2 linked regions of the Oreochromis niloticus genome follow. The protein of the gene in region 1 interacts with the protein of each later gene in a biochemical or structural test. Links are inferred from orthologs where the notes say so. Each region holds a gene or a part of one and is shown on either strand. Other genes may lie near its edges. The genes, in order: dapk1 and klhl20.

What was found.
Region 2: the proteins of dapk1 (region 1) and klhl20 are reported together in a solved structure, tested with the Homo sapiens proteins (2 studies listed by BioGRID and IntAct, with this or other methods). The link is inferred for Oreochromis niloticus from reciprocal best matches to the Homo sapiens genes DAPK1 and KLHL20.

Annotation. Positions count from the first base shown.
Region 1 is NC_031977.2:36,007,396-36,020,354, forward strand, and holds the start of dapk1 (death-associated protein kinase 1), read right to left. Parts: upstream 6,321-12,959; 5' UTR 5,251-6,320; intron 5,191-5,250; exon of another isoform or gene 4,764-5,190; intron 4,633-4,763; 5' UTR 4,510-4,632; coding exon 4,448-4,509; intron 1-4,447. UniProt on the Homo sapiens protein: Calcium/calmodulin-dependent serine/threonine kinase involved in multiple cellular signaling pathways that trigger cell survival, apoptosis, and autophagy.
Region 2 is NC_031982.2:2,797,241-2,810,291, reverse strand, and holds the start of klhl20 (kelch-like protein 20), read right to left. Parts: upstream 6,515-13,051; 5' UTR 6,378-6,514; intron 3,726-6,377; 5' UTR 3,685-3,725; coding exon 3,662-3,684; intron 1-3,661. Other genes in the region: LIM/homeobox protein Lhx8, read right to left, coding at 12,380-12,456, 12,687-12,867. UniProt on the Homo sapiens protein: Substrate-specific adapter of a BCR (BTB-CUL3-RBX1) E3 ubiquitin-protein ligase complex involved in interferon response and anterograde Golgi to endosome transport.

The sequences.
Region 1 (12,959 bases):
CATTTAATGCAGAGCAGGCGTCAGCAGACGAGCGGTCCTGTGCTCATTTTTAAAAGTACTCCACTTTAAGGTTTTTTATAAATCTATTGTGTTGGACAGTCACACCAAAGTATGTAACGACCACACTGGAGCTAATGCACTGCTGCAGCACAGCGGCGCAGTCGTCCTGATATGACTGCACTGCCGCTCCCTGGGATCCAGGGGGAGGACGGGGGGAGGGTGGGTGAGTGACAGGCTTCATCAAGGCCACTCCTGCTTCCCAGACTGCCCCTCCACCCAACAGAATAACCAAGGGTGGTGGTGGGGGGGTAAATGTAGGTCAGTAGCTGGTTGGGGCAGCGTCTGCACCGAGTGCATGCTGATTCCTGCTGCTGACTGTGCTGGAGCAGATTTACTGTCAGTGTCCTCCACAAACAATAAATAAATCAATGAAGAAAAGATTTGTTCAGGGAAAATATTTTGAAATGATATCGCTTTGAATCCAGGACACAGGATCCTGGCTGGATTCTTCAAATCATCCTGTTTTGTATTCACAGCGATTCGTCTTCGGGGAGTTTTCCCGATGAAGCCCAAACGCAGCCTCAGCTTAATGCTTTTACCTTCATTTGCATTGCAGAATCTTTTTAGAGCTACAGCCTCCCCTCCTCCTCTACGAACACGCACACACACACACACACACACACACACACACACACACACAAAATAGGAGGGCTAACTGGTAGAGAGCCACACAGCGGTCAGATTAATGCAGACTAACGATGGAGCTACAGCAGCCCTGCAAAAATATGCAAAGTGTAAAACTGCCACGTGGACCTGATGAAAAGCACACAGCAAATGGATTCCACAGTGGGAGTGGGCTCGTGTCATTTTTCTCTCTCAATCAGGAAAGAAAGGCTGAGTCAGCGTATCTCTAAACACGTGACAGCCCTGAATCTCCCGCCGCAAAAGAAATAAACGAATACAAAAAAAATAAGAAAGCAGAACTCGACTCACATGACCGGAGTGCAAGCTGTGCCCGTCTCTTCATGCAGGCTTGCTGCATGCAGCATGACCGCATGCTCTGCTTAGACCTACACAGAGGTTTACTGTTATTCTAGAGCAGTACTGGCATCAACTCAGAGATCAGATATCAGCCGGCCAGCGTCGTCTGCCACTGACGGTGATTTCCCATCTGTCTTACGTCCCGTCTGGAGTCATGCATCATCTCCAGCTTTCTCCCTGCGTAGGTCAGAGCTGCATTTCATTCAGCTGCCTCTCCAGCGAGTGTCGCCCTGCAGTTGGAGCCTTCTAGTTTGGAGATTTCTAACCAGCACCTGCAGCAGGTGGATAACTGGTTAAAGTCCCGCTGCACTGGGGACCAGTCCAAGGAGGTGCAGCTGAAGTCCATGGACGAGGCGAGGAACTCACTGCCTGGACAGCTGATTGTATTATGTGTCATAAAGCACCTCTAACTGAGGCCTCTGCAGAGGAGCACCACATAAACACTGTTATTTAATCATTTAATTAAGAAAACACACGCGCTGGCTGTCACGCACAACCCATAATGCACTGCAGAGGCACTGATAATGGAAGCAATTACAGCTTTTTCTATTTCTGCTGATCTAACTGGACAAACTAAAAGGTTTGATGGGGTAAAAAAAGCCCTGCAGCGACAGAAGCTCTGAGCCTGAATGCTTGTGTCTCTGCAGTCTAACATCCCCACACATCACCATTAAAACACCGCAGCGGTGCTTCACCCGACACTTGAGCATCACACTGAGGAGGCGTCAAACAACAGACCCTTTGAGATGCTGCAAACTACGACGTCTTCAACAATCTTACTGATCTGAGGCGTGAAGTGAGACTTTTCTGTGAAGCAGTTACAGAGATCAGCTGAGCACAGATGTGGTCGGTGCTTTATTTTGAAATGAAAGGCCAACTTCTGTCAGGAGGCCTTTAAACTGAACCCAGCCGGGCTCCACGCTGCACTTTTGTTTTTGGGGAAAACTCAAAGGATGAATTTGATGCACATTGTGCAGACACATCACACTTTTTAAAGTGCGGCTCCGCAAGCAACGACTTGATGCTTTGCCCGGAGCTTCAACGGCTGACCTGCAGTTTCACAATCGTTTCTCTGACTGACACTTTATTAGGCACGTCTAACATTTCCAGTTTTCCAGGTTTTGTTCTGAAAGGCTGGAAAAACTGGGCGAGCAATGGCACACCGATCACAGAGGTGATAAAAATCAAGATGAGGCAGTGATTCTGAACAGACCTGAGAGCTTCAGCAATAATGCAACATTTATAGACAGCATTATATAAGATCACGCTGCTAACGTGTATGCTTTGGGTTTGTTCCTGCGCGCTCGCTGCGCATAGATGCTCATGCATGATGCTCGGCTTCACCGGGCATCAGGTCCTCCATGCATAAACTCTTAAGCAGCCAGTGTCGGTGTCAGTGACAGGATAGAATCACCGCTTGGGTGAATTCCCATTTTCCCATTTTGCCAAACAGAATGGGCCTTGATCCAAGTGCAGCCAGCGGCAGGCCTGGAGTACAGTCGGATCAAAAGTCCCTCAGTCTGCAGGCATGTTGGGCTTTACAGTGAAAGACTCACCAGCTTTCATCATTAACAGACTCTGGTTTATCCTAAAGTTCATCCAGTACCAACACAAATATATAACGACTGCACAGTCAGTGTGGTTTCTGCATTTTCATCCAAAACCTCTGATTTCTTCTTCCTGTGCAGCTCGTCTGTTTGTACAGTACAAGTGTTCCAATTCAGACACAGCGAGCACGCTTAACTGCACAAAAATGTCTCCTTTTGCCTCGTTTCAACACACGTGGGCTGCTAATGCAGAGGTGTCAGGCCCAGTTTGGGAGTGCTGCTGATCAGTGCGCCCGAGTGTTACATAAGACCACCTGTGTGCAGCATCTATGGGAAAGATCATTAAAACGTGACGCGGCAGCAAGGAGACGCCTGAGGACGCTGCAGGACGTCACCGGACTCAGATACATCAGATTCTGAGTGACTGATGAGAGGAGAAGTAACACTAACCTCACCCATAAAAGACGCAGCAGAAAGAAGAACAAGTCTAGTTCAGGCTGCACACATGGTGCATGTCTCTTTGTGCCCATGCAAAATAAGTTTCCCACAGACACTCATTTCTGAGTCCTTGCTGCTGGAGAGCTCTCCAACAAACAGCATGCATGAATGACAGGACTGATTGAGCAAATATTTTCTATCCCAACACTCCAGATGTTGGAATATTTAGGATGATTCAATAATGATGGTGGACGACGTGCTCTCTATTCTCCCCATCCATCCTCAACAGAGAGCGGATCCCGGCGTTGGAGCAACAGCCAATCGAGACTATCACGCTCACGTAGCCGTCTACTTTACCTCAGGCCAGAAACTCAATCCCATTACACACAGCTCCCCGATCGTCTCTGTTACTACAGCAGCTGCAGCAAGCGCAGGCTTTCCTCAGAGAGCAGGAAGGTGAACACGACACAGAATCAGCAACGTTACAAAGGCCGAGGAGCAGAAAACAGCTGGCTGATTATTACCAACGTTTCATAACCACAAACTCAGAGATCCACTTCCACAGCTGTGACTCACATCTGGGAGCTGGAATGCATCTTGGCTGTATCATTTCTGCCTTTATTATTACGTAATGACATTTTTTTTTTTTTACCGAATCAGCAATAAAGTCACAGTGAAAACAGGACAGCCTTCATGTGACTAATCTGCTTTCACTTAAACTAACTTGTGCTTAAAAAACAACATTTGTGAAGCTGTTCCATCCATCCATCCTTCATTTGGTTACAATGAAGGCTTAAAAACATCATCCAGATAAACACTGTGCTGCTGCACGTCCTCGCTCTTCTCTAACCGCCCAAACAAACTCCCTCCCTGACTGGTTTTGTCAGCTCAGCTCGAGCAAAGATGACGGTACGAGAGATTTTCGCTCGATGAGGAAGATAAAGCCAGGTCGGCCGTTTGCTCCAGTCAACAAACACGTTATGTTTGGAATCATCTGCCACATTCGAGCATCCCTGCAAACCAAACTCAGGTCCAGCTCTGTCACAGCGTTTCATACACAGTCAGCTTCTTCACCCTGATTATCAGCATCCACCTTTGACCAATCACACACGGAGTGACAACCAGGATGGACACCTCCCTGTAAAGATCTACATCAGCCTCCTCCTGCAATAAAACCCAGGAAGACACAGCAACTCTTCATCACTGACGACAAAGCATTATGGACTGCATTAATCACAGCTTATCACACTCACAGTGGGGGGATTCAGACACGCGTGGACCACAGCTCTGCACAGATGGGCTAATAAACTTTGAAACATTTATTATCTAAATAAAATAAGGTCTTTTCCCAGCATCCCCCCGCCCCGGGCAGAGAAAGGGGAAGTTGATGCGCATTAGAAAGAAGCTCGGTGTGGACTCACCTCCCCAGCTCGTCCCCGATGTCATAAAATTCCTCCACATTTTCCGGGTTGAAAACAGTCATGTTGTCCAGGCACTTCTTCCCCGACCACAGGCTCGTCACACCGGCTCTTCACAGCGACACCATCCCTACCAGCAGCCGCCGGTCTGGGCAGGGTAACGGCCACCGATCCTCCTCATGCTCGGGCTTCCACACGGAGAGGAGATCAACAGGAGGAGGGCAGAAGAAACGAGAGCATTAGATTATGAAACCGTGCAGCTGCGGGAAAGGTGGGCGTGCAGTCAACAAAAGGAGCCCAAAGTGACGGAGCGGTGAACCTGCAGCTCCGGCGACGTCACGACTCCCGGAGCTGACCTGGCCGCTCTTCTCCCGGACTCCCGGCTCAGTTATCAGGCTGCCAATTTTAAAGATAATAATAACGCATGCGTGTGTGTGTCGCCACAGGCTGGAGAGGAATGCAAATAACCCCCGTGTGGACGCTTGGTGTAGCCATGGGAAACACGCTAACCTCCCGCTGCTGCTGCTTTCAGCCCGGTGAGGAAAATGACCGCTGAGGAAAGTCAGAATAACGAGCCGTCAGGACCCGCACAGGTGTCTGACCCGGTTTAACCGTGCGTGACAAAGTGCCCCCCCCCCCAAAAAAACAACTACTTTAACCACCAGACCCCTCAGCTCCCCCCGCAGTAACAGCACGGCTCGCCCCGGTAACGTTTTATTCCTCCGGAGTCTGAGATATGAACCTTAGCTGGAATGATTTCTCACCGGGAAACGGAGGGTTTACAGATTACTCCGTGGGGGTCTTACCGTGTGCCGGTGTCCGTGTCCCGCTGCCTGACGAAGCCGAGATTTCATGCGGTTAGTGGGAGGCTGTGATCCAGGTTCGGCTCACGGAAGACAAAATGCTGCTTTGAACGGGAGAAATCAACGTTAACAATGTGAGGCAGGCTGGTCCTGGTGCTGCGTTCACGGGCTGGGGTTGAAATGGAGATCGGAGACTTGGAGCGACCGGAGGACACTCTGTGTGTATTTCACGTTTTACCGTTAAAAGAACAACGATGAGGTCAAGAGATCAAAGGAAAAATATAAATAGTGATTTTACTAAACGTCACTATAATCGGCGGGTGTTTGTCAGCCGAATTGCTAGGAAAACGTAGCTGAGATGTCCGAGTTTCTACGTGTCTTGAAGGCAGCGCAGGTGTGTGAGCTCCTTCAGTCGCAGGAGGGCAGCAAACCTTCACTTTGAATCACAGAAGCTGAGAATTTGTGCAAAAAACACGTTTTTATGTAATTCAAACGTTTTATGTTAATCTGTTTATTTTACTCCCTTTAATGTTTTAATAATTGTTTAGAGTAAAAGTAGCAAAATCCAGACTTTTTGTCAGTATTGCAACAAATTTACATCTGTCAGCTGTTATGTATCACATTTTAGGGCCAAAGCTGTTATTTATTGTTTTTCCTCACCTCAAGTCTTTTTACAATTAAAGAGCGAATAGTTATGCTTACATGTCTCTGTAATACAGTAATAAAAAGGAATCTAGTTAAAGCATGCTAACTGTATGAGGCAGAACTACATTTCTCTAAAAAGCACATGATACATTTGTCAGCTGGTTCAACATCATGATATTTGTTGTTATTATGGTAAATAAGAATATTTTTATAGAGTGGAAACCAAAACATCAGCACTCAGGGAGCATGGACGGCACAAGTTTGTTTCCAGCCCCATCGAAAGATTTTAAAAGAGCCTCGTACCTCAAGCCGCGACCTGATGCTGAGCTCCTGTTCAATGCTTTCTGATGAATCAATTTTCTGCTGGGAGAATAAAGACTGAGGATTGATAAAGTCTCTGGTGAGTGGATCAAAGTGTCCTCTGGGTGCAGCTGAGGCAGAGACGTGACTGCTGAGATTCTCAGAATCAGAAGAACTTCATGTCCATCTTACAAGGTTTGAATGTTTCTAACACTGTCTGATGACTTTAATGTTTTATTAAATTTGAATGATTTTCTATGTGGTCTCAGATGTCTGGACAGACAATACACTGCATATTCAAATATAAATACTGCTCCTTGTGCTTTTTAAATACCTTCTGGGGTTTGTGAATGCAGACTGAAGAAAGAACTGTTGGTTTAACTGCAGCTCCACTTGAAACCAACAAGCTGGTTTTTGTGTTTTGGAACTAAAACATGTAAAACTGTAGCTTTTGCATGTATTTATGTTTATTTAAGAGAGAGAAGAATAAACATATGACCAGTATCTAAAGTAAAATGCAATATGAGATTAAAAAGATGATATTTAACTGTCAGTCTGTGAAGAAAGTTCTAAACACTGTAGTATGAGCCTGATTTTGGTGTTTTTCAGTAAAAAACTTCTCTTAAAGACGTGATGTATAAGAATAAATGAATAACTCACTAATCCCTTATGCCCAGATGGTAAAAAGGCAGTTTACACTCTGGATGATTAACAAGGAAACAAACTTTATAGATTAAAGCAGAAAGTCTCTGCTGACCTTTCACTCTCTGGGCGTCTTCATGCCTGATTCATATTTTGCATTTTCAACCAAAGCCAATGTTTACAGCTGATCACAGCTGCAGGTCTTTTCTCAGCAGCTGATCTTCGAATATATAGATTTAAAAAGCTAATATTTAAAAATATTATTTATTTATTTTTAGTCAAGCATCTCAACCAAATAAACTGTGAGATGATTAAAGCAGCAGAGGAACGTTTGGGCTGAAAAGAGGAAAATTAAACGACTCCTGTTGTCACAGTTTGCAGCCAGAGGGACAGATGAAGAGTTTTGAAGAAGATGATGTCGTTGGTGCACCAAATGGTTGGATTGGATTATCAGCCAGTATTAAACAGATTACCACCCTGAGAGGAAACACAAAGTCTGCTAACTTTGTTTATCTTTTGGCTTTTCCACCTCTGACATTTCCATCAGCCCCTATTAACACCAGAATAACAGTGATGTGACAGCTTAATAGTAATATTATGCTCTTAACCCAAAGCAGGTTTTAGTGCTTTGTCAGAGATTTCATACAAGTTAGGACACAAGCGTAAAAAAAAAAAATTCAATGATTTGCGAAACTCAGATTTAACTGATAACAGAAGATAGAAAATACACCAAGTGTTTAAACTGAGTGTTTGTACACTGGAATAAGTCTCTCTGTCCAAAGTATTTAAGTGAGGAGCAAAAACTGCTTTATTTTCACTCACTTTAAACAAGCAGTGTGCGCCATCTGGTGGCCACAATGGCAAACTACACCCAATAAGAACTAAAACCAAGTACAGAGATTACACTTCAATGTTAGCAATAAAAACTGAAAAAAATATCTGAAAATTGTTGTTTAAAATCAAGACAAAACTATGACTGCAGTTTATCATCACATTACTGTACGTGAATGAGTTTGTTATCTTCAGTGTAAGAGCATCAGACCAACAACATAAGGACTGGCACAGGCAGACCTGGCAAACTGCACATAGAAACACCTCAGCCAATCCGGAGGTTTGTATCCAGGACCACAGCACCAACAGGAACCTCCAAGGACATGAAGACACTGCTGTGGGACAGGAAGCACTCAGAGGGTGTTGTGGTGTTTTTCCAGGGAGCTGAGCGCTGGGGGGAGCCCACATGCACGCGCATGTCTGAGTTATAATTTGTTTCTGAGGTTGTTTCACCACAGTGGCAAGTAAACATCATTCAATGATAACTGAGCAAAGTGATCAAATACACTGAATTAATACCAAAGTCATCTGTCTGACGATCTTCTTTTTCATTCTTTCCTTTGGGATAGTTGCTACTCTTTCACTTTCAATTTAGTTTTATTTATACAGCACCAAATCACAACAACAGTTGCTTACGGTGCTTTATATTGTAAGGTAGACCCTACAATAATATATACAGAGAAATGGCCCCCTATGAGCAAGCACTTTGGCGACAGTGGGAAGGAAAAACTCCCTTTTAACAGGAAGAAACCTCCGGCAGAACCAGGCTCAGGGAGGGGCGGGGCCATCTGCTGTGATTGGCTGGGGTGAGAGAAGGAAGACAGGATAAAGACATGCTGTGGAAGAGAGACAGAGATTAATAACAGATATGATTCGATGCAGAGAGGTCTATTAACACATAGTGAGTGAGAAAGGTGACTGGAAAGGAAAAACTCAATGCATCATGGGAATCCCTGGCAGCCTACGTCTATTGCAGCATAACTAAGGGAGGATTCAGGGTCACCTGGTCCAGCCCTAACTATATGCTTTAGCAAAAAGGAAAGTTTGAAGCCTAATCTTGAAAGTAGAGATAGTGTCTGTCTCCTGAATCCAAACTGGAAGCTGGTTCCACAGAAGAGGGGCCTGAAAACTGAAGGCTCTGCCTCCCATTCTACTTTTAAATACTCTAGGGCAGGCGTAGGCAACCTTTCTGATGGCGAGTGCCATCTAAAATTTCCTCAGAAGTCAGTGTGCCATATGATTGCATTAGCAATAAATTTATTAACGCTTTATATTAATAGTTACACACTATATAGAACAACTTTATACAATTATATTTGTTCGCAGATGTTGGCAGCTATTATCAGCTATTTTGAAACAAAAAAAAGACACTTTTTATCCATAACAGCAAATGAACTGTACAACAGAAAATACAAATGCTATTTATGGTCTCCTCACAACAATGATAAGAAAAATAAACTGGGCCAATATGGCATGTTTGTTAATACAGGGATACACATGTTAATGTGATCACTGGTCTCCCACTCAGAGACACAGGTCTCCGAGTGTCCAGCGTTCAGACGGCTACCTGAGGACACTCATGTGAGAGAAAATCTGCTCACACAGATATTAGAGCCAAATACTGTCAATAAGGCCTCTGCAATGTTCTGAAGACAGTTAAACTTGTCAGGCAGTGATGTCCAGCAGGTGAAAATGCAGCTCCATGAACACGCACAGCTATGGATTCCAGCTACTTCGATGTTGCATTAACTGGCATTAACTCAGCCAGTTAATGTGAGACAAATCCAGCTGCTCATTAAAGATTTCTGGTTTGATCAGAAAAGAAAACATTGGTTCAAACACCTGAAAGTCCCAAAAATGCATTGTGAATTCCAGTGTTGGGACTAACGCGTTATTAAGTAACACGTTACAGTAACTACGTTATTATTGTGGTAACGAGCACGGTAACTAGTTATTATGCTAAAATCCGGAACGCGTTACTCGTTACTGGGATTTAGATAGGCTCGTTATTTGTTACTTCGTGTGGTGGATATCGCGGCGCTTCCACAGATTCAGTAACATTAGCAAGTGGTGGAGGCCAGCAGGTGATGAAGGAAAAGGGAGGCAAGAGGAGAGACCCGAAGCGGCCGCCGGTCCGAGTGTCAGGTGAACTGAACTTCAGGTAAGAAGTTATGACCTGCAGTCTATCTGGGTCAGATATAAACCAAGTTTAGGTGGAGTTTATTTTCATTATGCTGACTTTTTCGTGCTGGGTACTTGTTTTTATACAGCTGTGTGGGTGCCTCTTCTGGGGTGCTACCTTTTAGGTGACATGGATGAGCTGAAGGGAAGTTATGAGCTGTTTCTGAGAGACAAATAACACCAGGATCCTTTTCTACGTAGCAGACAGCTGGTAACTGTGCAGGGGCGGATCTAGCAAAGTGTTGCCAGGGGGGCAGGTAGGGCATTAACAGGGAAAGGGGGGGACAAAGAAATACTTTTCTTTCTTATTCTCATTTAAAATGTCTAGCATTTAATAAATAATTATCTGAGTCTTACAACAAACAATTGATAGATTGATACATATATACCATCAGAACAGTGTACATCACTGTCACAACAGCGTTTGTTTTCATTCAAAGGCTTTATGATTTTTCCTATAATGGTGGGCCGGTCTCTAGTCAAATTCCCTGGGACGATTTTTTTGTCCCAGTCCAGCTCTGTATGCAGCTCATCTGCAGTCTGGTGTTACCTACATCTTCCTATTCAGAAGGCAGAATTTCCAAGTTCTGAGTACAATCAAAAGCACCACGACTGCAGTTTTTGTGTTGGATGTAAAAAGCAGGCTAGAATCATGCGGCGGTCAACGACGGTCCAGGCGTGGGATTTCTCTCGTGTGTTATGATTTAATGTTGTCAGTGTTTTGTTTTATGTTATGTTTAAGGATTTGTTCTCGTTTCCTGTTTTATTGTGAAGGTCTGCGTCTCATGTGAGTATGTTCAGTTTTACCTCTGTCTCGTCTTGTTGATTGTTCCCAGCTGTGTTCCCCACCTGTGTGTAATCTCCCTGTGTTTCCCTGTGTGTATTTAAGTCGCGTCCTCTGTCTTTGTATTTTGGCTGGTCCGTCTGTGTATCCACCGTGTCTCATCCGTGTGTTTCCCTGCTGCCCAACCGTCATCTGTTTTCTGCTCGCTGTTATTCGTGTTCAGGTTTGTGTCTCTGTTCAGGGTCAGTAGTTTAGTCTTCCCAGTATAGTTTAGTTCTCAGTTCACCATTTTGTCCATCTCTTTTGTTGTGTTTGCCTTAGTGGCACCAGTCATTTTTAGCCGACCTGGTTGTCCATTTTAAGATAAAGCCTCTTCTCATCCCACAATCTGGTATTCATCTTTTTTTATGTTGCGGCTATGAGCCGGGTCGTAACACGTGGAAATGTGCGCATTATTTTTTCCTTTCTATTGGTAGGTGGCACAGTGCACTTGTGGCAAGTAAGCAAGCTAGAAGACTGACAATCTTGCTGGGTATCCAGTTACGGAAGCAACACATTAACAAGAGAATTCTGAGTAAAACTAAAGTTTCTTTCCCTAATAACTAGTTACTCTGAAAGTAACGAGTAACTTGAAGTAACTGAGTTACTTTTGATAGAAGTAATTAGTAATGTAAGTAAGTTACTAATTTAAAGTAACTTACCCAACACTGGAAATGACAGACTATTATTTTAAACTTTTTTTTTGGGACAGACTGCATTGGGTTCATCAAAGTGTTTTGTTTTTGCCAAAGGAAGAAGGGGGGCGGGGTTTGATTCATTTAGAAAGTAGGAAAGCAGCTTTCAGATTACAGTTTTTACAGTTTTTTTTGTATGGGGATCAAAATGTTTTGTGGAGGCAAGTTACAGACTGTTTATTTTCTAAAGTTGGTAATTTGGGGTTTGGTAAAACTTTGTTTTTGATCACTCAAGGTATGGTGTGAACTGTTTGTCACCTTTCTATGTTAGTGTGTTAAAAACCTGGAGGCTGCTGGAAACAGAAAGACGTGGAACATCTGCATCCCTGCATTGGCTATTAATGGAACTTATTCTCAAGGGGTCTCATTTAGGTTCATCCTGGGATCAGAGGTGGGTCGAGTATCCAAAAAATGTACTCAAGTAAGAGTATCATTACTTTAAAATATTATTACTCAAGTAAAAAGTAGTCGTCAAAGTTACTCGAGTAAGAGTAAAAAAGTACTTGGTGAAATGGCTACTCAAGTACTGAGTAAGTAGCGAGTAACTGTTTGAAATGTCTGATTTATTTTATAAATAAATGCTATCAGACAATCAAAAATAAATAAATATACAAATTTTAGTATTTTCAAAAGGAATATATGTAAAAAGATCCACAAAATAAGGCACAACAATTCTAATTTCAAGATTTCAGTTTTTCACAACGTAAAGCTTTTTCAAGCAAAACCCACAGTGAATATATTCGCATTTACAGCAGCCTCAGAGAAAACATTAGAACGAGGCAGCTTCAACATAACAGACTACAGCTGATGCGCCAGAATGTCATACTGGGGGTGTGTTGTGTTTTTTTTTTTTTTTTTTTTTTAAATAGAAGGAGGGATTAAGTAAATCAGAAACAAATGACACAGATGCAACAGGTATAATCAGGAAAAGTTTATTCCCAAGGCGGACAGCAGGAATTAAAAAAAACAAAAAAAAACATCTGTGCTAAAATTCCACAAGAATAGACATTCTAACAAAACTTATTTTGTATACTAAAAAACCCTGAAGTATAGACAGTGGATTAGCACAATGTAATATGTAAAAATGTAAAAACTACACTCACAAATAAACACTGAAATCAGAGTAAAACTAATTATAAAAGACACATACAAATTCCCACTATGTGGATGTACATATGTGTATGGCTCACTTTACCATAAATTGTTTCTTCAGTCAGTGAAATGGTGCTTCAGCTTGAGATGGAGGCTCTCAAGGTTCTTGCTGTGAAGCTGCGACCGTTTAGCAGTGAACAGGAGTCCTGCGTGACTAAAGTCTTTGATCCACAGCTTCTTGATCTGAGGAAAGCCATGCAATACATCCACACCTCCAGTGATTGGACAGTGAAAGGTATCTCTCCAGTTCCTCTGCTTCTGGCTTTCCTCACCCCATGGATCCATCATCTTCGTCGGTTAGGCTGCTGTTTGTGCTGGTCTCATCCAGCTCTGTGTCTAGGTGATGTCTGATGAAGTGGAGACCTGTGGAAAGATGTAAGGTTTTCAAAAGAATTAGGTCTGGTCATTATAGTGCTGTATACACTGCCAAGCTGCAGATGTTT
Region 2 (13,051 bases), on another chromosome or scaffold:
CTAGTAAGCTATAGTATTTTTTCCTTTGGGAAGGTACAATCTGTGCAGTCTGCAATTCTGTTGAAGAAAGATGTTGAATCTATTTAATTATCCTTGAAAAATAATTGATTTCTGTGCATTTTTTTTTTTTTTTTCCCACACTGCATCAAATTAAAGTTGATTACGTGGATTAAGCATCACAAGGTGGAGGGTGGGTGGTTCCCTATTTTTTTTTTTTTTGCTGGGAGTTTTAGAACCCTATTAGTTAGGTTGCTTACTCTTTAAAATACCAGAATAGGGAGGATGGAGTAGGTTTAAGTTTATTAGATTGATCAGTATTGCTGAACTATGAAATATTTTGGGTGCAGTGTATTTTTGCATACAGGTATAACAGAATAGCTTTAGTGTTTTGTTTTGTTTTTTAACTTCAGTATCAACTTATACAAAAAGCAGCAAGATATTTAAAAAAAAAAAAAAAAACAACAACACAGTTTTATTGATAAAAAAAAAAAAAAACAACAACATCAACAACAACAACAACAACAAAAAACAAACAAACAAACAATATCGGATTCATATCGGTATCGGCAGATATCCAAATTTATGATATCGGTATCGGACATAAAAAAGTGGTACCGTGCCATCTCTAAATTTTACAGCTTCACTGCCAAATGGCTACAGCAAGAGTATGGACAGGGACTAGGAAAAAAAGCGCATATTTCTCCTATATTGGCTTCTCTTAATGGGCTTCCTTGTTAAATAAATAAATAAATAAATAAATACATACATATGAAAGCCTGCCCCTCACATACAAGGTCTTCAATAATCAGGCCCCATCTTATCTTAAAGTCCTCGTATTACCATAACACCCCCCCGAAAAAAAGGCACTTCACTCTCAAATTGCGGCCTTACTTGTGGTTCCTAGGATATTTAAAAGTAGAATGTGATGCAGAGACTTCAGCTTTCAGGCCCCTCTTCTGTGGGCCTAGCTCCTAGTTTGGATTCGGGATACAGACACCTACTTTTAAGATTAAGATTAGAACTTTACTTTTTGATAAAGATTACAGTTAGGCTTGAATTAGGTGACCCTGAATCCTCCTTTAGTTATGCTGCAATAGCCTTAAGGCACCAAGGGTGGCTTTGCTCACCACCCCACCGTCATCACACAGATGCAGTTATTTATACCCGCCACTGAGGTGCAAGAAGCCGAGGCAATATTTTCCTAAACGAAAGATGCCGCCACTCAGACAATTATTGTGTCATACGCAATGAAATAGAGGAGAATAGGTCAAAACAGGAAGCCAAGACTTTGTCAAGTGTTTTTTTTTTTGTTTTTTTTTCTCCGCAAAGTTATTTGCACAAACTCAGGCTTTCAAACAGCTGAAACTCTGCCCCCTGTGTCTGTGTGTCTCTGAGCTTCTTTGCAGGATTATCATTAAAATGCCGGTAAAAACTGGCTCGATCATAGCCGTCGCATTTCTGCCGGGGGTTTCTTCCTGTTATATGGGCTTTTTTCTCTTCCCAATGTTGACAAATGCTCACTCATAGGGGGTTGTCTGGTTGTTGGGGTTTTCTCTGTGTTATTGTAGGCTCTTTACCTTACACTATAAAGCGCCTTGAGGCGACTGTTGTTGTGATTTCATGCTATATAAATAAAATTTAATTTGAATACAGTGTCGGTCTATGGCCATCAGCTAAACCTAATATAGCAAGGTCAGTACCCTGCATATGCCTCAGCCAGTGTAAACTTATCCACACCGGTCGGTTGACTTGGTGTACCCATGCATCTTTTTAAATCCCAGGATGACTTTGGGTTTGGGATTTACTACAGCTCATGTTCCCAGTACTGGCCAAGAATTCCTAACACCTGAACGCATCCTCTTCACTTTGTGTCCTTACCATTACAGATGGGAGAAATTACATCATTGCACATACATGACCTTTGTTAAAGACATTTTGTGGATTGTATTTAATACATAATGTACAGTTTCAAATCTTAGTCAAATATCCTTTCAGTGACATATTTTCACATAATAATGTGAAAATAAAATGCAATGTAATCCAGGGCAACTCAGCGACAAGACAAAACAGCTGTGATATTTTTAAAAAAGGAACTTCATGTAGCCAGCATTCACAGGAACTGTTGGCCTGAGAATATGTTACTGAGGAGAAAAAGTCATGATACCCTGAGCCTCTGCTGCTTTCACTCAAAACATTCTGACCTTTCATTATATCATTTGAATTGCCCTAACATAGTGAAAGTACAAAATTAAAAAGCTTAAGTAGGTCTAACGTTTTAAAGACTGGAGTCAAAGTAGTGGGGTAAATGACAAGAGACATAAATGCTGCACCTATAGAGATTTTGATTTAAATTTAAACTGCTCCAGACTCTAATCAGAGGCATTCAGACAGTTTTTTTCTACTCCTGTAATTGGATGATGTCAGAGTAGGGGCCATTCCTACACGGTTAGCTTTGGCTCTGGCGACACTCCACCGAACTTATGTTTGTAAGTGGCAGCCAATCAGATCAAAGTGTCATAAATGTGGGTGGTCTTTAGAGGGCTAAAATAGCTCATTTCAGACAGAAGATGAACTGAGGGGCCGCAACAAGGCAGTATAAGATAAATAAGCATCATTTTGAACAATGACTCATACAAAGCTACTCCAGTAGCCAAAGATTACAATTATGGACCTGAAAATTGACCTAACGAGTATCCTTTAAAGCTGCTGGTTGCACAACACAGGCAACTTTTAACTATGAAGCATAAAACAATAATTAGATTCTGTCTTAGTGTTAACGTCTTAAATTAGGTCCTACCTACCCAATTACACACTGCTATTGTTGTTTTATATAACAAATGTAGAATTATAGCGTTTCATTTCACATTAATGACACTAAAACTGCCTTTACAATTTAACTTCAGGAAAATCGGGTCAGGATATTTTCTTTTCTCAGACAGAACACAGAAAGAGTTCACCTCAGTCACATATCCAACATTCTGTGTGGTTTCTGCTTGGACTGCATGAGTTCATGGCTGCAGCACATGCATGAAAAAGCTCATGTTTATAATCTGGATGGGACCTCAGCCCTTATATACTATTATATTACATTATACAAAAATGCTCATTTTGATCATTCTTCGACCACCCAAAAGAGAAAAACAAAAGAACAAAAACAATGTCCATCCCGTTTCACCTGTAATATGCACAACAGACTCCATGAACACTGTTTTTGCATAGTGGCTCTGGTGTTTCCCCTTACTGTGAAAAGTTTATTTTTAGCCAGTCTTGTTTCACAGACTCCTGCTCTGCATCGTGACACCACCTCTCTCTCCAGTGGGCCATCAAACCTAAATTTAAAAGCCCAACAAACCAGCAGAGCTAAGATCAGGACCACCAAGTGCTATGGAGAGTTCTGGGTAGAACTCCTATTGAAAACCCCCCTTTGATTCCGTAAGGCAGGGATTTTTCTGCCTTTTAAGCTTATGTGGTGACATAACAAGGTGTCAAAGAGACATGGAGGATCTTTAACTCCCCCACTGAAGGAATTTGAGGATTTTCGTGACTACAATATTTGATATGATACTGCTGCTAAAAAGAAAATTGGTAAACAGTAACCAAAGAATCTGGAATTAACAGCCACATATTTTTGCCATTCTTCCCAGAAAACTACCACACCTACCTGCGCATTGGCTTTGCATCCATGCACTGAAGAACAATGTTTGGTCCTACACTTTCAAGTTAACCTGTGAAGAAAAACAACACAAATCAGCATTTCCTGCAGTTAATCTGACCCCCACAAATATAAGATAAAAACTAGTAATTTTTTTTTATATCCGATTTATGATTCCTGCCTGCTGATGGAAAAAGAAAATTACAACCTCTTGTGACAGCAGAATAATCATTTTTCACTGTAATTTATGCCACACCACCATCCTACCTACCAAATTAACCACTTCTGTCAGCTAGACTGAGACCAAACAATCTACTGCTATCAAATTAGGATCCTGCAATAAAACCTACCTTTGTATGCGTTTTGCTGACACTATGTGTGTGCACACGAGTTCAGTGAACACATCTGCTCCATCATTAGTACACTCACGTAAAGCCTTCTCTCTGTAAATGTTCAGGAACTGGTGACTCACAATGTCTTTCCCCTTCCTTCACATCTCACTCCACTATAACAAATTCTTATAGCCTTCCTCCATCCCATCAATTATTTCCTATCAAACACTTATACATCTTATTATAGCCAGTCTTAATTTATGTTTTTTTTTTCACATCCAATAACTTTTTTGATACTCACTAAAGCATGGCTCTCTATAGGCAATCATATTCCTCTTTTCCTCTTACCTGAAGCACACCTACACCAACCCTGGCTAGTGGGGATTGCTGTCATTTTTCTTTTTAATTTAATGCATTCCATTTTACTGTGTAGTACAACTTCATTTGAACATCTTGGCTTTACCAGAAAACTCTGAAGACCCTGGAATGATTTTAATATTTTACAGACCACCTAGGCCAAACAATGTTTTATCCAAAAAATTCCCAAGTTACCATATTTTACTCCAAAATTATGATCAAATTCTTATCCTCAGTGATTTTAACATTATTAAAATTGTGTTCTAACTGGGCAACTATCAATGACCATTCTAAATTTCCCTATACGAATGAAGCATTCATTCATTTTCTTCTGCTTATCCATTTCATAAAAATCACACACTTGATTATAAAAATAAAATATCAATAGTGTAAATAAAAATAAATATCTCAGCACTGGCAGCAGCTCTCTGTCTCTCGAGTGGCACAGAATGCTAAGCTGGCTTCCACCAACTGTTGAGGAGTTAACAGACTGCTATCTATCTCCAAATATAATGCTACAAGTACCTCTCACTGTTTCAAACTTCAAACACACTGCTACCATTGCAGTGAGAGGGAAAGAGACAGCAGTACATGATTAAGCCTACTGTAATTAGTGAAGATCAGTGGACAGAAATGAGCTGAACAGCTGAAGGTAAATATCAAGATTTTAATATATAAGTAAGAAGTAAGCTAATTCATTACATAGTTTAACAGTTGCACCTTTTGTCTAAAAGCAAACCTCTTCAAAGAAAACAAACAAACAAACAAACAAAACAAAAAAAACTCCCCAGTGCCTTGATCCAAAGCTGGTGGTGGCTGGGTGTAAAGCCTGAATTAGCCATTTGCAATATTGGATTTTTAAGTAAATATATAACAGCAGTCTTTAAAATATAGTACCATTTGGGCTCTACATGATATATATGCAGGTTTCTCCATTCTGTGTGTGTTTAAACAAATAGATTTAGTCTTTAACCAAGTTTGACAGTATTATGATCAATACTGGCACTTTGGAGTGTATTAGTCCCACATAACATGTGTGTTTTCCATGTTCTTTATCTTGTAAAGTTAAAAATAAGGAGTTTAATATATTTTAATATCAAATAAGTTAATTTCTTGTGTGCAGCACCATGGCCTTGCTTCCAGCTGATGCCACTCATTCAAAACCTGGAGTCCCTCCTTCACACACACACACACACATTCTTTTTTTCCTTCTCATTTTTGTCATATGGTTACACTGAGGTGTCAAGTGTTTCAGCCAGCTGCTGCTGCACTAGATTAAATTAACCTAATCAGAAATATACATTAGATTCACCTATTCAGAGAGAAGTCAGAAAACAAGACCCCAAAATGGAAAGCGCTGTGTGGGTTCATCCAGACAGTAGCGGGCTTAGAAGGCTCATTTTAACGTCAGCTTTATTTCAAAAATATCCCCGATATCACTCCATCGGTCTACGTTAACACAAGGCAGCTCTCTGTAAGTTATTTATTTCTAGCTCTTCGCCATGTAGCTTAGCTAAGACACGCTAATTGTTGGCTGATAGCTGCCTTAGCAGTTACCAGACTAGTTGGCGATTAATAATTTCCAGTGCTGTGGTAAGAGTTGTGTTAGTATGTGACTTAGCCAAAGAGGAGATAAAAGGAGAACTGACGTCTTCCGAGGCTAAATGCGTTCCAAAAAACTGAAAATAGGGACTAGCTTCTTAACGCTACTTAACTTCCCGAGGATATGTGGGAAAGCTAGTGCTACAGCTAGCACTGAGATAGGAATTCCCTTCACAATACAAACGTTAAAACAACTTAATAATAGCAGAGACAACAAATTTAAACTATAAACGACATTCAAGAATAATCCAAAGCGTTTAGAGTATCTCTGGTCGTCAGAGATGCTGTTTTAGCATCAGCCCACAAGCCACGGATTGAATATTATAAACTGTAGTGCTAACATTAATTAAATCAGCAGTGAGCGGTATATGCTGATACTATAAGCAATGACAACTACGTAGGAAAAAAGCAAGAGTGTACGAAATGGGTTTTACCTTAGAGTTCCATCCCAACCACAGACATTAGTCAGCCAGGCTCTTAATGTTTACAGTTTTAAGCCGTCGGTTGTTTAACTCCGCAGCTTTTCTTCCTCGGTAATATGCGCATGTCAAGCGCCACTTCCTGATAATTTGCTTTCAAAATAAAAGTAGGGGATTATGTCATCGCACGTAAAGATAAATTTAAAATAAAATAAAAATGTACCTGAAATACTGTGCAAAAGTACGGAAGAGGATTAGGGCCACTGGAAAAAAAAAAAAAAAGTGGGCACGTCTTTTTTTTTTCTTCTAAAGTCAGAATTCTGAGAAAAAAGTCAGAATTCTGAGATTAAAGTTAGAATTCTGCGTTATTGTAATTTCTTTAAGTAGTCTTCAAGAATAGTTCCAAAGCTCTTCTTTGGATGCTGACTGCCTTTTGTTCTGTGCTCTGTCAGGATAATCCCTTAGTGCTTCAATAAGTTTGAGGTGATACTGTTCCGTTGTGTTTTTCTATCTGGACATACTTTTATTGCACTGGTAGTGTGTTTGAGGTCATTGGTATGCTGAAAATTGAATTCACTGCCAATCAGAAGCGTTCCACTTGGTGAATCAAAATCTGAAGGTACTTTCTGAATTAAATATTCCATCAGTTTTGACAAGATCCCCAACATGATTGACTGAAATAGAGTCTCCACCGTGATTTACAGATGCCTGTAAACAATCACTGCTGCTCCTCTCCTGACCTTCTCTGTACATACTGATGATGATTTGATCTTTTTTTTTTTTTTAAATTTTAGCTACCTTTCAAAACACTCAAGGTCACCTTACACAAAAGACAAAAACAGATAAACCCCCATATATCAGCAAAGTCATTAAAATAAGTTTACAACACAGAAACATAGGCTATGACAGCTGGAAGACAGTAAGAAGTAAGCAATAAAGAGTTGAAGCTGAAACAGGATTTGAAAGTGGTGAGAGAGTCAGAGTTACAGATGTCTAGTAGGAGGGAATTCCAGAGGTGAGGAGGAGAACTACTAGACCCCATGGTAGACAAACAGGCAGAGGAACAGTGAGCTTGAGAGAAGAATACCTGAGACTGTGAATGGGTGTGTTGAGATGCAGGAGCAATTCAATTCAATTCAATATTGAATACTGAATATATTTTTATTCATTTGGCTCCAACAACAACAGTCACCTCAAGGCACTTTACATCATTAGGCAAAGACCCTACAATAATAAAAATAAGACTCCCAAAATAGCACAACCTCCTATTATCAAACAGTGGAAAGGAAAAACTCCCTTTTAATTGGGATGGCTGTAGCTCAGGTGGTAGAGCGCTATATAAGAACCACTCTATCTCCATTTACCAACAGGAAGACACCTCTGCATGACCCAGCCTTAGGGAGGGGGAGCCATCTGCTGGGGGTGAGAGCAGGGAGATAGGACTCTGGACACATACACACACACACACACACACACACAGACATATACACATGCAGATATACACTCATCCCCCTCCCCCTCCAAATGCCTTCGACGCTTATTCCCTTCCGATGCTGACGGTGGATCATGGAGACCAGCGCATAGGCTGCAGGCCCGGATGTACTGTCTACATTGGCTGTCTCTCACCCTTTACCCACCCCTGTTGCTTGTCATGTGTTTCTTTGGTGTATTATGAGTTTTTTCATGTGCTATGTGCAGAGGTGTTTCTTTTCTGTTCTCAAACTGATCTCCCTGTTGGAGCTCAGTCTGGGGAGAGTTATTTTTTTCTCCTTATCTTTCCTCATGTTGTGCTTTTCCATGTTATACCCCTCTGACCTGTCTTCCCCATGTGATGTTTGTGTAATGTATGTATGGTCGGAGGGTAAGACGGCGCTGGCACGGCTGGCAGCCTTAAACCAATTTCCCTCAGGATGAATAAAGTACAATCAATCAATCAAAAGACAGACTGTGGAAGAGAGCCAGAAACTAATAATAATTAATGATTAGTGGACTGGTTTCAGTTATTGTGCAAATGTACTGTTTATATGGTTGGGGAAACCTGCAGTCAGCTGAGACTGAAGAAGTCACTTGGATGAGTGACAGAAGGTTTTTCCCATTGAAAACGCTACGTCCAGATGAACAAAATCAACCTTTTAGGAATTAATGATTAAATGAAAAGTGGTGTATTTCACATAGAGATCAAAAGATCACTCCATTATGTTACATTTGTTAAGGTGGATTTGATGCCACTGAGGAGTACCCTTTTTTGACACTGTTCAATATTAGAAAGTTGCAGGTGAATCTGAGTCTTGTTGTCACCAATTTTAGTCTAGTTCTTGTGTAATTTGGCTTACCTTAGCTTTTTCTCCCTACGTGTGTGTGTCTGTGTCTGTGTGTCTGTGTACGTTTTAGAATTACAAGAATTATGTATTCATCATTAGGGTTATAGTTAAACCTGTTGCTTGTATAAACAATAATTATCTACGATGGTGGCTACAAAACAATTTGAAACAATTTTAATTTAGATACATGCATCAAAAAATGGATATTAATGGGGACTGAATATTTTCCCTCTTTATCCAAGTCTTTAGACAGATGAACAAAGGCTCTTCAGTTGGGAGGTTCTTCCATTTTCACATCTAGAAATATAAATTCTAGGGAAGAAAGGCTTTTTAAAAACTTATTTTGAGATAAAATCAGAAATCTTAAAAGCTGTTTGTTTTATCTGATTTGACTAGTGACAGGGGCGGCTCTACAGAGGTGGCACTGGGTGGTATGTGCCACTCTAAAATAATCTCTTGCCACCCCTAATGTCGATGGACATGCCTCATCTCCAAATCGCACGATCAATTTAAGATTCCATAGCAACAAGCTGCAGCCATCTTGAATCTCCATTTCAACTTGTGTTGAAAGTTTGGACTTCAAACTATACACCAGTTTTTTTAATTTTATTGATAGGCCACTAAAACCAGAGTTATATTCATAAAAATATACAACATGTTTATTTCTGAATAATATCGACACGTTTAGTGTCAGATGAAACAGTAAAAACTGTGTTTTCTAAGGACAGCCCAAATAATAAGAAAAAAATACCACCCCTTTCCTATTGGTGTAAAAGTGTACCATGTTGACCAATAAAAAATGATTTGACAATGCGCGGGATTTGATTATTTAGGAAGAGGAGAAAGTTTTCAGAATGCCGGCTGTGCGAGAGAGAAAGAGAGAGCAATGTCGACAACGTTTTTGAGATGTGAGAGATTTGTGACGTTTAGCGTGTTTGGAGTGTGTAGTTAGTGTGTTGTGTTGTCTCGTGCAGTCGGTGTGTATTGTAGCCATTTGTTTTGTTTTGTGTGTCATAACAATGAAGGCAGTACTGAATGTCACAGTAGCTGCTAAAGAGCCACCAAAGTTTGATTGCAGTGTAAATGCTGTCTGTAGAAAACAGGAGGAGTGGTTCACTTCCTGCTGTCAGGCCTGCAGGGTTTAGGCCTGTGGTGTTCTCCTCTGTGCTGTGGCAAAAAAACAACAACTATTTTGCACTGGCACAAATAATTTGTGTGGCATCTTGTTTTTATTGCTATCTAATTTTATTTTGCATTTTTGCATGCATTTTTAGGTAACTAGATGTATATAACTTTATTGATTACAAAATTTGTCCATAGGTTTTTAAAATTTATAATTGATATTTGCATTTCAGGTTGTGAAAATAATTATCTGAACAGGTTTGTGGTTTTTACAGTAAAATCTTTAACTTTTTCCCTACTCTGTTTTTGTTTTTGTGTGATTTCAGATCAATTAATGCAGCATGTCAATGAAAAAATAATTTTAATTCAGACATGTGAGATTGTGCTGAAAAGAATGATTCCAAACAAGGCAAACAAGGCAAGGCAAAAAAACAAAAACAAAAAAACATGTAAAGGTGAAATGAAAAGTAGTGGAAAAAATGGCCAGTTATACCCTGGAGGCTTAACCCAATAAATCATGGAAAATTAGGTTTAAATTTTGGTGAAAAATGTTTCATGACAGTGCAGATTTCTGGCATTTTGTATTAATTTAAGCAACAATTTAATTATTTCTAAACTTTTGAAAAAGTGTGAAACTAAAGTTAGACTTGGGTTTGAACCAAATGAACCACCACATGTTGTGTAGCTTCCTGGATTTTATACTTGTTGGGCTCCATATTTATGATACAGGCTATACAGTACATAAAATCAAAATTCACATGTTTTATGTAACTTAAATGTTTAATTATCTGGGCTAAAAAAAAAAATTAAGTGATAGACTATATTTAACCCTTTCATGCATGAATTATGACAACCTCAATCAGCATTTTTTTCTTAAGTATTTTTACTCATCTTTAGGCATGAAAAAAAGATTTTTGAACTCCATTTTTTTAAACATGTAGTTTTCAAAGAGTTTTTTACATGTCCACTTAGGTGGACAACTGATGTGTATGGAGTGACACATCAGTGTCGAATGTAGTAGTTTATGTGCAAGTATACCATCAACACTGACACAAATACATGAAAACAGCCTTTGAATAGCTGTCCACTGTAGTGACCACTATGCATGAAAGGGTTAAATGAAACATGTGTGTACTCATTGTATTTGGTGTATTTTAACCATATATAATGCATATTACAGCATGTGTAAAAACATGACTTTGATTTTGCCACCCAATTTGATTTCTCTATCTGCCCCTGACTAGTGATTCTATACCTGTATTTAAAATGTCCTGATGACCACTGAAATCAATTTAAATTTACACAATGCTTCAAAATAATGGGTGGATTTTGATCAGACACAAAAAAACCTTTAAAAGGCAGAAAGTTTAGTCATGACATTGATTTTGTTAAATGGTGCAGTGAGTCCTAATTTCAGTGAAACATTGAAACATGGCAAAAGCTATATATATATATATATATATATATATATATATATATTATGTATATATGAAGTCCATTAAGGGGTTGTTGAACATTCCTGGTATATCAGTTACAGCAGTTAGCTGGTTATATTGGCTGATACTTTACAACACACACCCTTTATATAGTTTCATATTCGTTCTTCTTTACGAAAGCTCATAGTCCCAAAAAACACCGCAGTATAAAAACAACTTTGTTCCAACAGCCATCACTCAAATTAGCAAATCATAGTTTCTATATCCTACAAGAGTGCAGTGTAGACTTTTAATGGCTTTCTACATATTTGTGGTTTTGGATATGTGCATGTGAGGATGGATGACTTGTCTGCTGCAGACCAAGAATACAAGTTCAAATAAAGTAACCTAAACCTGAGTACTGTATGTCAGCTCCAATGTCCAAGTCCACTCACTCAGTGTGTACTTCATACAGAGTTTCTATTAGAATCTAGCATTCATTCATTAAACACATTTATTGTATTACTTTTTAAAAGAATATCACTACTGAGCAACAAGTGTTCATTTAATTTTAGTCAATAACACTTTCAGTGTCAGCTGGAGAATACTGACGTTTTGTTTACATTAGCTTTTTTAATATACAAAACATGTATTCTACATGTTTATCTTTGCAACAAAAAAAAAATGACTGTTAGTAGTGTAACTCAATCCTGACTTTTCTAGTAGTCATAAGACAGGAAAAAATGCATTTTAAATCCCATTCCCAGTTGCAACCTTAACAAAAACGTCACTCAAAAAAAAAAGCAAACAAGCAATTTTACATCATTTTCAAACAAAGTGCCTTATCTCATCAAATCCTTCAAATAAATTAAATTTAACACATTAACAAAAGTTTCATCTTACAAACATCAGTTTTCACATAAATTCTCATCCATTTCATTTCATGAAATTAATGCAGTAACTTGAGCTGATGAAGTGTCTGCTTACATTAGGCAGCAGTGTAAATTCAGTGCTCTTCATATGCTGGACAGTTTATGAATTTAACCCATCCAGTCCTTACGAATTCATTTTAAACCAACTCCTCTCACTCTCTATTATTTGCTCATCATCCAACCATGAAGCAATCAGTGGCTTTATTTTTCAGGCAGCACGCTGAAGCTCAGGCATGACTGACTGGCAGTTGTGTCAGTGAATGGGACATGTGTGGCTGCAGCAGAAGTGGGTCTGGAGTTTGGACTGTGGAAGTAACAAACTCAAAGTTATTCAATGATCACAGATGTCAGTAAATAAGCATGATTTCTAACAAGATCTCAGACTTTGATTTTAACAACAATAATTGATTCCCAGTACTGAAAATGGGATTCCTCCAAACTATCAGCAAGTGATGCAGAGATTACCTTTGCTCTGAGTTTGCTACGTAGATTCAAAGACTGGTCAGCATAGCAATGACCGTATTTGTGTCTTACCATCCATATAGGTCAGTGTGGTGAGGAGAGGTGCATCTGGAGAAATATAGGTGGTATACTGGAGATCATCCATCAACGGTGGAGACAGCTGACCAGGAGCAAGTGATGTCATCATGGTTGACTGCGCAGGATTTGGGTTAATGTGCTTCTTTTGACGAGCTCGGCAGTTCTGAAACCAAACCTGTATGAAAGAAGCCTGGATTAATCACTGGTCTTGGAGTGATGGTTTCCCTTAAAAGCGCAGAGATCGTTTTTTTTTTTGTTTGTTTTTTTATCAACTGTGCAAATACCCCAGATTTCTCACTATTCTCAACTTGAGGGAAAACTGGAACTTTGCAAGTTCATTATGTTACTTGCTGGCATTT